3 linked regions of the Arabidopsis thaliana genome follow. The protein of the gene in region 2 interacts with the protein of the main gene of each other region in a biochemical or structural test. Each region holds a gene or a part of one and is shown on either strand. Other genes may lie near its edges.

The links. The genes of interacting proteins can lie anywhere in the genome.
Region 1: of the proteins of RVE8 (region 2) and MPK1, one has a biochemical effect on the other in vitro, tested with the Arabidopsis thaliana proteins (one large-scale study listed by BioGRID).
Region 3: of the proteins of RVE8 (region 2) and MPK10, one has a biochemical effect on the other in vitro, tested with the Arabidopsis thaliana proteins (one large-scale study listed by BioGRID).

The regions. Positions count from the first base shown.
Region 1 is NC_003070.9:3,347,380-3,351,680, forward strand, and holds MPK1 (mitogen-activated protein kinase 1), read left to right. Parts: upstream 1-1,702; 5' UTR 1,703-1,939; exon of another isoform or gene 1,940-2,185; 5' UTR 2,186-2,199; coding exon 2,200-2,622; intron 2,623-2,707; coding exon 2,708-3,397; 3' UTR 3,398-3,801; downstream 3,802-4,301. Other genes in the region: WLIM1 (GATA type zinc finger transcription factor family protein), read right to left, coding at 1-58, 250-384.
Region 2 is NC_003074.8:2,944,234-2,949,531, forward strand, and holds RVE8 (Homeodomain-like superfamily protein), read left to right. Parts: upstream 1-2,005; 5' UTR 2,006-2,225; coding exon 2,226-2,404; exon of another isoform or gene 2,405-2,680; coding exon of another isoform or gene 2,681-2,691; coding exon 2,692-2,749; intron 2,750-2,830; coding exon 2,831-2,954; intron 2,955-3,023; coding exon 3,024-3,170; intron 3,171-3,288; coding exon 3,289-3,414; intron 3,415-3,493; coding exon 3,494-3,603; intron 3,604-3,690; coding exon 3,691-3,750; coding exon of another isoform or gene 3,751-3,783; exon of another isoform or gene 3,784-3,922; coding exon of another isoform or gene 3,923-3,944; coding exon 3,945-4,037; 3' UTR 4,038-4,063; exon of another isoform or gene 4,064-4,336; 3' UTR 4,337-4,784; downstream 4,785-5,298. Other genes in the region: AT3G09590 (CAP (Cysteine-rich secretory proteins, Antigen 5, and Pathogenesis-related 1 protein) superfamily protein), read left to right, coding at 720-1,280; AT3G09620 (P-loop containing nucleoside triphosphate hydrolases superfamily protein), read right to left, coding at 4,919-5,298. UniProt on the Arabidopsis thaliana protein: Transcriptional activator of evening element (EE)-containing clock-controlled genes. Forms a negative feedback loop with APRR5. Regulates the pattern of histone H3 acetylation of the TOC1 promoter.
Region 3 is NC_003074.8:22,090,361-22,094,903, forward strand, and holds MPK10 (MAP kinase 10), read left to right. Parts: upstream 1-2,039; 5' UTR 2,040-2,087; coding exon 2,088-2,311; intron 2,312-2,583; coding exon 2,584-2,713; intron 2,714-2,803; coding exon 2,804-2,941; intron 2,942-3,024; coding exon 3,025-3,357; intron 3,358-3,449; coding exon 3,450-3,630; intron 3,631-3,704; coding exon 3,705-3,880; 3' UTR 3,881-4,043; downstream 4,044-4,543. Other genes in the region: AT3G59800 (stress response protein), read right to left, coding at 4,237-4,425, 4,519-4,543.

The sequences.
Region 1 (4,301 bases), on a different chromosome or scaffold from region 2:
TTTGATCGAAATGTGGTCTGCAGTAGAGAACTCCTTCAAAGGAGTTGTAATTGCTAAGCTGACTCATCAAGAAGAAGAAGAAGAAGAAGAAGAAACAGAACAGTCAAATCTTTAGACCAATCAGTTTCCATAGCCAAAAATTCAAAGATTTCTACTTAATTGATTGGACTTCTTCATCTACATATATATCTACTAGATCTACTTCTGGATTAATGAGAAATCATCACAAACTAGAATCAAAGATCAAACCTTGAGAGTTCCTTTGCAATGGTGACATCGGAAACAAGCTTTGTGGTAGACCCGGTTATCGGCGGTTAACTTGTCGACAAGATAAACTGTTTTGTCACATGCCATGCATTTCTGGGTTGTTCCTGCGAACGCCATTCTTGTAAGAGATCAGACTAAAAGACTCAGGAAAAAAGAAAGAAGCTCAATAGTCTTGAGAGAGAGAGAGAGATAAAGAAGAATAAGATGAAGATGAAAGAAAGAGATTGTCAATTATTGTTGCTTGTTTTAATATGGGGACCAGATATATTGAAAAATGAACATGCTTCTTCTTTTTAAATATTTAAAGTAAAATTCTTTTAGGAAAAATTGAAATTTTTAATAAAATGTCACAAACAAAAAAGTTCAAGATGAGTATCGAATTTTGGATGCAAATTCGAATATTTGGTGTTTCTGACAACCCTAGCATTGTTTTTCGTGGTTGTCTAATCCACAAAACAAGATAAGCGATGAATAAATAAATAATTTGAACGTTAGCAACAAAACTAAAAACTGTACTACAAAAAGAAAAGGTTTCAACGGCATTTTTTGTGTTCTTAATTATTTTTGTCCAAACTTGAAGTAACCCGTCAATATCTGTCTCCTAGATATTTTGCTTATATTTTTTTTACATTAATTCAGTTCTTTTATATCTAGAGTCAGGTAATTATTTAGAGAATGCATGCAGTTGCTTGACAGTGCGTAAGATTTACACAAATTTTTCTCAACAGTGAAGGCAATGCTCAATAGTCAATAACTGTTTGTAAGGAAATAGAACAGGGAAAACCAACTGGAAAGAATCTTTGTCTGGTTTTAGATAATGATTAAAAGCTGTATTGGTTATGTTGAATTAGTTGGAAATCTCTAAATATCTATACACTATTTATTTTCTTTAATACTATATGTTGTGTAGTGTGTATATGAATAATGAAAATATCTGAAACATGCTTTACCATAAAGGCTTTTGATGAGCTGTAGTATTGACATAATTGGTTGAAGAGAATGAGTGATCATAATGATACCTAACATCTTTTATTTAATCAAAAATACCTAACGTTATTTTTATTTGCTACTATAATAGACTCCAACCAATTTATTAGTATCATTTTATACAGTTTCTAACATTTTTGCCACTGCTTAGATTTATGGGCTTTCCCTTTCTGTCTGCATGGGCCTCCTCTCTTATATTAATAATCTGACTTAATGAAAACTTTTAAATCTTTTGTAGTTTATTTTCCTCTAGATGCTAATTTTAGCAAAATGAAAAGATGTGTGATGGAAACGTAAAGTTAAAGCAAAAGAAGATGGTGAATTGGTGATGCAATATTTTAGTCATGTGTCATTGTTTACATTTATGATATATTTTACTTTAAAATACTTTTCTTCATTTTCAATTTTTATAAATCTTCGTAGAACACATATTCACAAATGATGCTACTTTGGTGATCAGTTACTAAAAAATACCGAAATTGATTTTAGAAGATAGAGACGTGAATCTGTTTGCCAATATTAATTGGGCTCAACTTAAGCCCAAATTATATAAGGAAAGACTACCTAGTAACGAACAAGTAGCAGGTCAACTGTCCGAGCGTTGGCCAAATCTCTCTCACTTCCACAGGTTTCTCTCTCCGGCCAAATCTAACCTCCGGGGAACGTCGTTGGTCACTTATCACCGGTTAGAATTTCCTTCCCGCTTTATCCCGTAAACTTTTTTCCCATTGATTCCGATCGTTTATGTTCCTTCACCAAATCGATAAAGTTTGATCTTTTTCCTTTTCACTATTATTAACAGACCAATCTGTTTACACAAGAAATCTACAGTAACTTATCACTTGAAAAGTTTTGATAAATAGTTAGTATAATAATTTGTTAATTGTGTGTGTAAATTTGATTTCTTGATTGTGTGTGAATTGTGATGAAGAGGGAAAACAAAAAATGGCGACTTTGGTTGATCCTCCTAATGGGATAAGGAATGAAGGGAAGCATTACTTCTCAATGTGGCAAACTCTGTTCGAGATCGACACTAAGTACATGCCTATCAAGCCTATTGGTCGTGGAGCTTACGGTGTTGTCTGCTCCTCTGTTAACAGTGACACCAACGAGAAAGTTGCTATCAAGAAGATTCACAATGTTTATGAGAATAGGATCGATGCGTTGAGGACTCTTCGGGAGCTCAAGCTTCTACGCCATCTTCGACATGAGAATGTCATTGCTTTGAAAGATGTCATGATGCCAATTCATAAGATGAGCTTCAAGGATGTTTATCTTGTTTATGAGCTCATGGACACTGATCTCCACCAGATTATCAAGTCTTCTCAAGTTCTTAGTAACGATCATTGCCAATACTTCTTGTTCCAGGTGTGTGGTTGATCCCGTTCATTTACTGTTGGTTCTAGCTTTGCTTTCTCCTGAAATTTTGCTTTGCTTTGTTCTTTTTGTGTAGTTGCTTCGAGGGCTCAAGTATATTCATTCAGCCAATATCCTGCACCGAGATTTGAAACCTGGTAACCTTCTTGTCAACGCAAACTGCGATTTAAAGATATGCGATTTTGGACTAGCGCGTGCGAGCAACACCAAGGGTCAGTTCATGACTGAATATGTTGTGACTCGTTGGTACCGAGCCCCAGAGCTTCTCCTCTGTTGTGACAACTATGGAACATCCATTGATGTTTGGTCTGTTGGTTGCATTTTCGCCGAGCTTCTTGGTAGGAAACCGATATTCCAAGGAACGGAATGTCTTAACCAGCTGAAGCTCATTGTCAACATTCTCGGAAGCCAAAGAGAAGAAGATCTTGAGTTCATAGATAACCCGAAAGCTAAAAGATACATTAGATCACTTCCGTACTCACCTGGGATGTCTTTATCCAGACTTTACCCGGGCGCTCATGTTTTGGCCATCGACCTTCTGCAGAAAATGCTTGTTTTTGATCCGTCAAAGAGGATTAGTGTCTCTGAAGCACTCCAGCATCCATACATGGCGCCTCTATATGACCCGAATGCAAACCCTCCTGCTCAAGTTCCTATCGATCTCGATGTAGATGAGGATTTGAGAGAGGAGATGATAAGAGAAATGATGTGGAATGAGATGCTTCACTACCATCCACAAGCTTCAACCTTAAACACTGAGCTCTGAGCTCAAGTCTTGTTTGTACGGGTAATTTACAGAAAACTTCTTCTTCTTATGTCTGATTGTCATCATAGACTCATAGTGTATATAGTCTTGAAAAATAAGATGAAGACTAACTTATAGTTTAAGCGAATAGTGATGCCATGGAAGCTCTGTTTTATTTAATTACAAGCTTGATGTGTGTCTGTAACATATGTACATAGAGAGAGCTGTTTTTTTTTTTTAATTACAAGTTTGATGTGTGTCTGTAACATATGTACATAGAAAGAGCTGTGTTTTTTTTTTAATTACAAGCTTGATGTGTGTCTGTAACATATGTTCATAGAGAGAGCTGTGTTTCTGTTTCTCTGTTTGTTTGTTGCGTTCTTGCAGAACTTTTAACCCTCTCATGCAATCCAAGCCTTTTGATGAATCAAGTTTTCATATAGTTGTTCTCATATAGCTTAAATCTAAGAATATCAACAATTAAGCATTTTGTTATATGAATATTTGATGATCACACCATGATCATAGGCCTTCGGATTCATAGAAGGGGTAGGCCTTTGCACCGAACCTAACTTTCCAAATCGTAACAAAAACAATGTATTGTTTTTCTTTCAATTTCTTAATGAAGTTCTATAAGATAATTTTGGTGAGTAGTATCAGTACCCTCCTCATTCATTTATCACATGATATGCTTCATTTTTTTGTCAACACATGATATGTTGCTTCTATTGGTTAAAAAGCCTTAAAGGCTAAAAGCTTTTTCTTCTACACCAACTTTCCTTCTCATAATTCATTTTTCTTTTCATAGTATATAAATAACTTGGAGGATTTTCCAATTTTTGTAAACCCATCAGAAATTTAAATTAACAATGAATATTCCAACTATATGTTTATGGTTGAATCACTTTTGTCTTTCTTTCTCCCC
Region 2 (5,298 bases):
CCCAGAGAGGACCGTTGTCCTAGAGACGGATACAGCCCAAGAGACGACCTTAGTCCTGCGGAAGATGAAGACCAATGAAGAGTAGGAAGACTGGTGATTGCTTATAGGCCGTCTATTTTGGCTTATAATGATTTTAAATAAGTGTAATGGATTTTGTTGCTTAATACTTCGTCTGCTATCTTGTTTTAAATATTTAAGAAAATAAAACGACTTTCGGGATTGTCTTTTTCTTTCTGTTCCATGTCTTCTTAACTGCTATGAGTAAAAGAGCTCTCCCAGACTCTTCTTCTATCTCCAAAAGCTTTTATTTTTGTTTGTTTATTTTGGTACTGATAATATCTGAGTATATATATAATATAGTAGAAACAATGAGCAAAAGTCAATATGTCCGAGTGGTTAAGGAGATTGACTCGAAATCAATTGGGCTTTGCCCGCGCAGGTTCGAATCCTGCTGTTGACGGAATTGTTTTTCTTTTTAGCTTTTGTTGGGTTGTGAAAAGTATAACAACCTTAATAATTTCGTTTTTTTAATCTAAAAATATACGGTAGTTTTCTCATCATCACCAATAAGAATTGTTTGATATGAAACAACAGAATCAGGAAAATTTGTTAAAATGTCAGAAAATGGAAAAATCTCTAACTGAACAAAAGTAACAAAAAAAACTCCCTTAGAAACAGAGGAATCATGATGAGAGACAAAATTATACAGAGACGTGGAGATGTCTGTAACGTTGTCTCATCCATCATCATGTCTTCTTCTTCTCTTCCTTCTCTTTTCCGGTCATCCCTCCGTCCTCGGAACCTCCATCCCCGACGCGGTGAACACGGCGGCGCGTTTGGTAAACAGAGCGAGAAGAGCAAAACTGTCGAGAGAATTTCTACAAGCGCACAACGATGCACGTGTTTCTTCAGGCGTGCCAACGCTCGGATGGGACAGAGACCTGGCCCGATTCGCTGATAAATGGGCTAAACAACGTAAGTCCGATTGCAGTATGATACATTCAGGTGGGCCTTACGGTGAGAACATTTTCTGGCACCGGCGTAAGAAGACGTGGTCGCCGGAGAAAGTGGTGACGAGATGGTTTGAGGAAAGGTTTAACTACGACGTGAAAACAAACACGTGCGCACCGGGAAAGATGTGCGGCCATTACACGCAGATGGTGTGGAGAGAGACCACAGCCGTTGGATGCGCACGTGTGAAATGCCATAACGGTCGTGGCTATCTTGTGGTGTGTGAATATGATCCACGCGGGAATTACGAAGGTGAAAGACCATTTTGATCAAAACAGTTAAAATGAAAAAATTGTTAGAGATTCAAAATATTTTTTCTTCTTCTAATGTAATGAAGATGGTATATTATTCTTGGTCCTTACATATATACAGCCATGTATTGAAGAGGTATAAATTCAAATGGTTCGGAATCTTTTAATTTTATATATTAAAGATCAATAATAAAAAAAAACGTCGACAGCAGGGTTCGAACCTGCGCGGGCGAAGCCCAATAGATTTCAAGTCTATCTCCTTAACCACTCGGACATATCGACTTGTTGTATTTGTTTCGTAAGATTTGAATACAAAACCGAATTCTCTGTTGCCTAAATCGGAGCTTTTCATCCCTTGACTCTCTAAGACATCTGAAGCAGCTAAAGTGTTGGATGTTTCACATAACGACATGGGCGGCAAGCACCCAGTGGACACAACAAGGTACCTTTGTTCTTGGCCGCCCTCTAATTCGGGTGAAATTGGAAGAGAGGTGCTTGGTATATACTAGGATGCGTATTTGGTGCTTAGAGATTTGATGAAACTGAAGCAGTTAGATATTAGAGACAACGACCTAATATTTGCAGGTGAAGAGTTCAGCTCTTTTGTCCGCCAGGTTTTTCCAAAGCTTGTATGGCTTGATGGCCACAAACTCGCAAGTTAAAGATAAATGTTAGGCCACTTGTTTTAATTAAAGTATAAAACTCTTTCGTTTTTTTGGATTCATTTTCATGAAATCAAAAGACTACAAGTCTACACGTGCTTCAAGCTTGAGGCTCTAAATGAAGTGGTAGGAAAGAATGAAATAATAATAAAAAAAGTCAGAAAAATGGATGGTCTGAGATCAAAGTGAAACCTACTCCACATACACATCCCAACTTCTTCCCCGCCATGTGGACTTTTCTTTTTCCTACTTTCTCTCTCTGCATTCTCTCTTACACCTGTCTTTATCTGAAAAATAACCGATGAGCTCGTCGCCGTCAAGAAATCCAACGAACGCCGAAGCACCTCCGCCACCACCAACATCGACGGATGCTGTGGCAGAGGGTTCGTCTAAGAAAGTGAGGAAACCATATACCATCACCAAGTCAAGAGAGAGCTGGACAGAGGAAGAGCACGATAAGTTTCTTGAAGCACTTCAACTGTAATAATTTATCTCTGTTTCTCTGTTTTTAGAGACTTCAAATTTCTTAGTTTGCTGCTGATTTCTGAGTTTAGTTAGTTATAGACTGAACAAACAGAGGAAAGTTTATGTTACTTAGCTTAGGTCTAGTAGTAACTTAGCTATAAAAAATCTGCTTAGCTAAAAAGATCTGCTTCTTGGAGCACTTCAACTGTAATAAATTTATAGTTGTGTTGACTTTTTGAAAGTGTTATTGATGTAACTAGGACCTGATTCTGCTGATACTACTACTCCTCTATGTTCCTTAGGTTTGATCGTGACTGGAAGAAGATTGAAGATTTTGTTGGTTCAAAGACTGTGATTCAGGTTTTAAAATAGCTTACTCTGCATTTTTGGTCGCAGTTACTTTGTGGCAATGTTTTCAACTTATTTGACTTTGTACTGCAGATAAGGAGTCATGCTCAAAAATACTTTCTCAAGGTTCAGAAAAACGGGACATTAGCTCATGTGCCACCTCCTCGACCTAAGCGCAAAGCAGCTCATCCGTATCCTCAAAAGGCATCAAAGAACGGTTCGAATATTTTATAATACTTCTTAGTTTGGTTATAGAGTTGAGTTTTTAACTCACATTTTCTTGCAGCTCAAATGCCACTTCAAGTTTCCACGTCTTTTACTACTACGCGAAATGGCGACATGCCGGGATATGCTTCATGGGATGATGCCTCAATGCTGCTAAACAGAGTTATTTCACCACAACATGAACTTGCTACTCTTCGTGGAGCAGAAGGCATGCACATTTGTCTATCCTTTTTGTTTTCTTCATTTTATTGGTAGTTGTAGTAAGAATAGGTTCCATCAAAGGACGTTTCATGTGCTTATTATGGCATATAACGCCACTGATTCAGCTGATATTGGATCAAAGGGCTTATTAAATGTTAGTAGCCCTTCTACATCTGGCATGGGAAGCTCAAGCCGAACAGTATCAGGTTCTGAGATTGTAAGAAAGGCTAAACAGCCTCCAGTGCTTCACGGTAACCATCTGTGAACAATTCCATGTTTTTTCACTAACTTTTATGCATGATGGAGACTGTACTGATACTATCTTTGTAGGTGTTCCTGATTTTGCTGAAGTTTATAATTTCATTGGGAGTGTCTTTGATCCTGAAACGAGAGGCCATGTGGAAAAGCTCAAGGAAATGGATCCTATAAATTTCGAAACTGTGAGTCAAGAGTTTACAAGCTTTCAGATTAATTGGTGTTCAAGCTCTTAGCATTTCTTCACTAATCACATAGTATGGTGTTTACAGGTTCTGTTATTGATGAGAAACCTCACAGTTAACTTATCAAACCCTGATTTAGAATCCACTGTAAGTGTTAAATTTGCGATAAAAGATTTGTGATGACCAACTTTCTCAGAGTCTGAAACTATTTCACTCTCAACCAATGAGTTGGAGGCACTTCTTTTATGATCTTTGGTTCCTTACATTGAAATGAGTTTTTTTGCGCTTGCGTGATCAAATTTAATCTAACCTCAGCTAGTCGGATTGTAATGATGCTGCAGAGGAAAGTCCTCTTATCATATGACAACGTGACGACCGAGCTCCCAAGCGTTGTTTCCCTTGTCAAGAACTCAACAAGCGACAAATCAGCATAACAAAAATATGAGCCATCAGCTAGCAAGTAAGTGTTTTTCCCTCTTTTTCCTCTGACCTTTTAAATTCAGTACAAGAAAACATTTCACTACTATTAGAAGTCACATGAGTTCATGGTTAGATATAAGTCTAGTGACAGTTCTCTAACTCTAAGGTTTGCAATAAGAGTTCTATAGTTAGTCACAGTCTGGGATACAAGATATATACACTACGGTATTTTGAGTATTAGCACCAGTTCAGGCTTCTTGCAAACTTTGTAAAGTCTTGCATAAGAGTTATATGGTTCTCACCGTATTGGCAGGTTTACTCATTGGTTTCCCATGTTTAATAAACTTTGGTGTTATACGTCACTGGAATCACAATCGTGTCACTGCATCATCATGTGGGAATTGTGTAAAAGGTCTTTGTTGTTTTGAGGAGAAACATAAGCCAAGTTTTGAAGCTATAGGGGGCTTCCGCAGATTTTGACCAGGACTAGTTGGGTGAATGGTAGGTATAATATATGTAAGGGGTTTTTCTACTAGTTGCAAGACAGCCTCATTCTCATCCACCCGTTACTCTTGTACTAAAATCTCGTCATAACTTTTTGTTCAGTTGTTGTGTATTTGTGTAAAAGATAAGTCCTAGGACTGAGTGTAATGGTTCAAGATCAGTGTTAAGTAAATGACGGCAACTCTATTGTTTTAAAGTTGACAGCTTTCTTTATATATTATGGGGTTTGATTCAGAATTTTGTTTTTAATAAGGAAACCAAGTCAAGTCTATAAAAAGATTTTGCAATTGTGGAGAGATTGTATGTATTCAAGTATTCAACAACATCAATCAATACTTACTAGTTTTCTGAATAATTTTTAAAAAATCCTAGAATCAAAAACCTCATGATTTTATAAAACAGAGTATCTGCCTGATTGTGCTCCTCCAGGAAGGGAGAAGGTTTGGTTAGTTATGTCTTCAAGAACACGCTTGAGTTCAGCTTTCGCTGTCTTAACAGATATTTCGGTAGGCCCTTCGACGAACAAATAGAGCTTGCGTTCCTCAGGTCCCGGGATACGTCCTGCCTCATAAAACTTACCTCTAGTGGTAATGGAAGCTCCACTCCACTCTGATATTGGTCCCAGCGTTTCTTTGTGGGTAACTTTCCACCGAGCATTCTGTGGGAAATCATTGATTTCCAATTCTGCTTCATAGTGTTCAGGTATCGCATCAGCTTGAATCTTTGCAAGGTACTGTTGCACGTTAGCAGCAGCAATCATGGCTGCAACGC
Region 3 (4,543 bases), about 19 Mb from region 2:
GCCAAGAATTACTTTTGTTCGTCTCTTGGAACCGTTAACATCGGCAACAGAAAAAGTGTAATAAAAAAAAACTGTTTTCTTTTCGTTCGGATGCTGAGATTTGTTTTGCAAATTTAGAACTAGCTAAATTGGGTCAAAAGTTATAGGTTACACGTAAAATTATTACAGCAATTTCTCCCCTAATAACTTTGGGCTTTAGGCCCAATAACAGAAGGCCTTAAAGTGGCATACTTAGGGTTTAGTGAAAAAGCAATCGTCATCCTTGACTCAGGGGTCAGGTCAAATCCAGGAGAAGAAGAGGTAATCATTCTACACAGATAGAAACATTTATTTTTTGTTTAATCAAAAGCTAACATTTTGTTGTGACAGTTCTCGTGTTTTCTTAATATAGATGGCAAGACTGATAATCGTGCCAGAATCCGTCTTATTAATCAAGACAAGAACAAATACAACACTCCAAAGTATCGGTTTGTTGTTAGATTTGTATCCTTTTAATTAGTTCATCACATTCCCAGTTGTTAGTGGTGTCTGTTTACATTCTTCCTATCGAGTTTTGTTTGGCCTTGAATGTGAGGAAAGCTAACTTGATTGACCGTATTCGTACACTTCACTCAGCTGCTGAAGCCATATCAATGAAGTTGACGACGAGTGAAAACGTTTCTTCTCTTTAAAAAACTGTATTTCCATCTAGTTTTGATCTTACTTTCGTGGCTTTGAATTTTTACTTTTCATATAGCATCGTTATATTACTCTTTACCTAATTTCCCTACTGTACTTGTGAATTTTCCCGTCGACGTATGTGCAAGTTACTAATTTTATGCAAGTTGTGAATTTGCAAGCGTTTTAATTTCTAAACGAAAGAATACTAATCAGAAACTTAGAAAATTTGACAAGATTAACTAAACATTGTATATGTCTATCGACCACTACTACATTATTTCAATGTGTAAGCATATTTTTTATCATTTAAAATGAAAAACAGAATGGACAATGATAAATCAACGAACGACATTAGCAGAAGTGTGTGGTGTTTCTATTTATCAGCACAAATAGAAAACAATGATAAAATACAGAAGTGGTGATGCAGTGGATTTATCATTTGATTGCTGGACTGTCATTTTTGTTATTAAATCTTATGAACTTTATTTTTTTCTTATAAATATATTATATATAACACATTTAACTAAATTAGATCTCATAAATTTGTTGTAGATTTTTTTTTTTTTTTTGCTATTCCCAGCAATCTACTTAAAAACGAATCCCATCATCACCCAAACATGCTAAGTGTAGCAGAAGGGATAATATTTTGTAGGTAAGGAAACAAATATTTTATTAACCTGTAAATAAAAAATGAAAACCAATTATACACATATTTAAAAACTACCAAACTTAGTATAGTATTATTTTTTTTAAAAAAAATTATAATAACAAAATAATAATAATAATAAATGGTAAGACTTATTTTGAATTATGTTTATTAATAATATTTTTGAGGTTTCTTTGTAAGTGATGGTGATTACATAGAAACTTCATATCAAATATCTATATATTTTAAAATTTCAAGTAAATTGATTTTTCAAAAAATATTATTCTATACTAAATTTAAAGTATATGAAAATACAGAAAATTGTTTACAAAAATGAACACAAATTAGGAAATGAATATGAAGAGTATGTATCCAAATTGTATTGCCATGTTTGCATTTAATTTAAGAGGGTGTATGAAAAGCAAAAAATCTTCTTCTAACAACTTACCTAAAATCATCTCACTTATACACTTCCATAAATTAATTAGTTTTTTTGTATTCATTAGCTGGAAATATATTAAGATTATTTAGTTTTTTTTTTTCCATATGGAAAAGGAAATTCACAGCAGAATTCCTATAAGTTAAAAAAACTTACCTTAAAACTATCAAAATATATCAAAACTCATATCTCCTGGGTCCTCCTGGACCTGGACTTAAACATCCATACTTACACATATCCACTCTATATAAGTTTAGTTCACTACCACTAAACCCAACCAAAGCAAAAACATCACTTCTCTCAACAGAATAGTTTGAGGTTGTGTGAGACAAAAAGAAAACCATGGAGCCAACTAACGATGCTGAGACATTGGAAACTCAAGGAGAGGTTACAACCGCTATTTGGCCGTCATCTCAAATCCTCAAGACGACTATCGATATTCCGGGGACTCTCAGCCATGACGGCAGATACATCCAGTACAATCTATTTGGGCATATCTTTGAACTCCCCGCAAAGTATAAGCCACCGATTAGGCCTATTGGCAGAGGTGCTTGTGGCATCGTTTGGTAATATCCTTTTAACAGAATTAATAGTTTCATTTCTTTTCCTAATCATTTTGAGCACTTTAGAATGTAGATGCCATGACCATTTTTGTGTGTAATTTATGGTTTGGGTTGATAAGTTTCATCTTTTTATGAGAAAAGTTCAAATCGTTTCTATCATAGAGATCTCTAAACAGTTATTATACCATTCATGACTTTTATGTTATTCTTGTTACTTTTAAAATTTCCTCACTTGACACATTAGTTTTTACTTTTCTTTTTAACTTTTTTTACAGTTCGGCTGTGGACTCCGAGACCAATGAGAAGGTAGCAATAAAGAAAATAACGCAAGTATTTGATAACACTATCGAAGCAAAGAGAACTCTTCGTGAAATCAAGCTTCTTCGTCACTTCGATCATGAGAATGTTCGTTTGATTTTATAACTATTGTCTCACCTTTTTTCTTTTATTTTGTTATTCATTAAAAGCTAACTATGTAATATCATTTTTCTATAGATTGTTGCAATCAGAGACGTAATCTTGCCTCCTCAGAGAGATTCATTCGAAGATGTTTACATTGTGAATGAATTGATGGAGTTTGACCTTTATCGAACCTTAAAATCAGATCAAGAACTAACCAAAGATCATGGCATGGTGTGTGTTTAGAGTTATTGTTTCTTGAAACTTAAAAATCATTTTGATTAGTGAGCTTGACACAATCTTCAAATTTTTGGCAGTATTTCATGTACCAAATCCTGCGCGGATTAAAGTACATTCATTCAGCCAATGTGCTACACAGAGATCTAAAACCAAGCAATCTCCTCTTGAGTACACAATGTGACTTAAAGATTTGTGATTTCGGGCTCGCTCGTGCAACTCCTGAGAGTAATTTAATGACTGAGTATGTTGTCACAAGATGGTACCGTGCACCTGAGCTTCTGTTGGGCTCTTCTGACTATACCGCAGCAATAGATGTTTGGTCTGTTGGCTGTATTTTCATGGAAATAATGAACCGTGAACCGCTCTTCCCGGGGAAAGATCAAGTTAATCAGCTTCGTTTGCTTCTGGAGGTAGTAAAGTAAAACCCTTTGTTGTGCCAAGATCATATTCGTTTTTTGTGATTCATGATTAGCTTAAAAAGTCTTGGGACATTGTTTTGCAGCTCATTGGCACTCCATCTGAAGAAGAGCTTGGATCGTTGAGTGAATACGCTAAGCGATACATAAGGCAGCTTCCTACGCTTCCTCGCCAATCTTTCACTGAGAAATTCCCGAACGTGCCTCCCTTAGCAATAGACTTGGTGGAGAAGATGCTAACATTTGATCCTAAACAGAGAATCTCAGGTCAGTTTCTGTCTCCATATAGCCTCTTCTGCAGTTTTATTTGGATTCTTATCATCAGTTTTGCCACTTTGCAGTTAAAGAAGCACTTGCTCATCCATACCTTAGCTCGTTTCACGACATTACCGATGAACCAGAGTGCTCAGAGCCCTTCAATTTCGATTTAGATGAACATCCATTCTCTGAGGAGCAGTTTAGAGAGTTAATCTACTGTGAAGCCCTAGCTTTCAACCCTGAAACCAGCAATGATTGAAAAGGACCATATCTTTGATCCTTGTTCTGTTTTTTTCTTTTCCTTCTCTGCTTTTCTTTGAATAATTTCCCTTTTCATTTCCTTTAATTTTTTCATCTCTCAGAAATTTTGTTGTGCTAAGATTTTCTGCTAGATTCCCTTTTGATGTTGTCAAATTTCATTTTTAAGCAAATAAACTGAAAAACCATGATTCTGTGGGCATCATTGCGACTTTCAATCCAACAAATATTAATACATGAGCTATTGTCAAAAATATAACATTGCAACAAGGAAGAAAGCAATCATATCCTACTTTGAGTATTTTGATTGAAGACAATCTTACTCTTTGTAATAGTTCATTTGCAGTTTTGCTTTTGTCAATTCTTCAAATTGCCAAAGAATCTAGAGAGTGGTACAGGGCCATCGGTTTCGTGTTTACTTTTGCTAGAGTGTTTGTCTCTGCTGGACTTGTGCTTCTTCTCCTTCTTTGATCTTTTCGAACTTGATCTTGATCTTCTAGATTCATCTTCATCACTGCTAGATGACGACTCTGAGGACGAATAATGCTGCAAATTCATAACACAACCGATCATGGTTCATGTTAGCATAAGCTAGAAAACCTCACACTATCTGATATAAGCTAAACTTTTAGAAGGCACCTTTCTCTTTTTGCTTTTCTTCTTC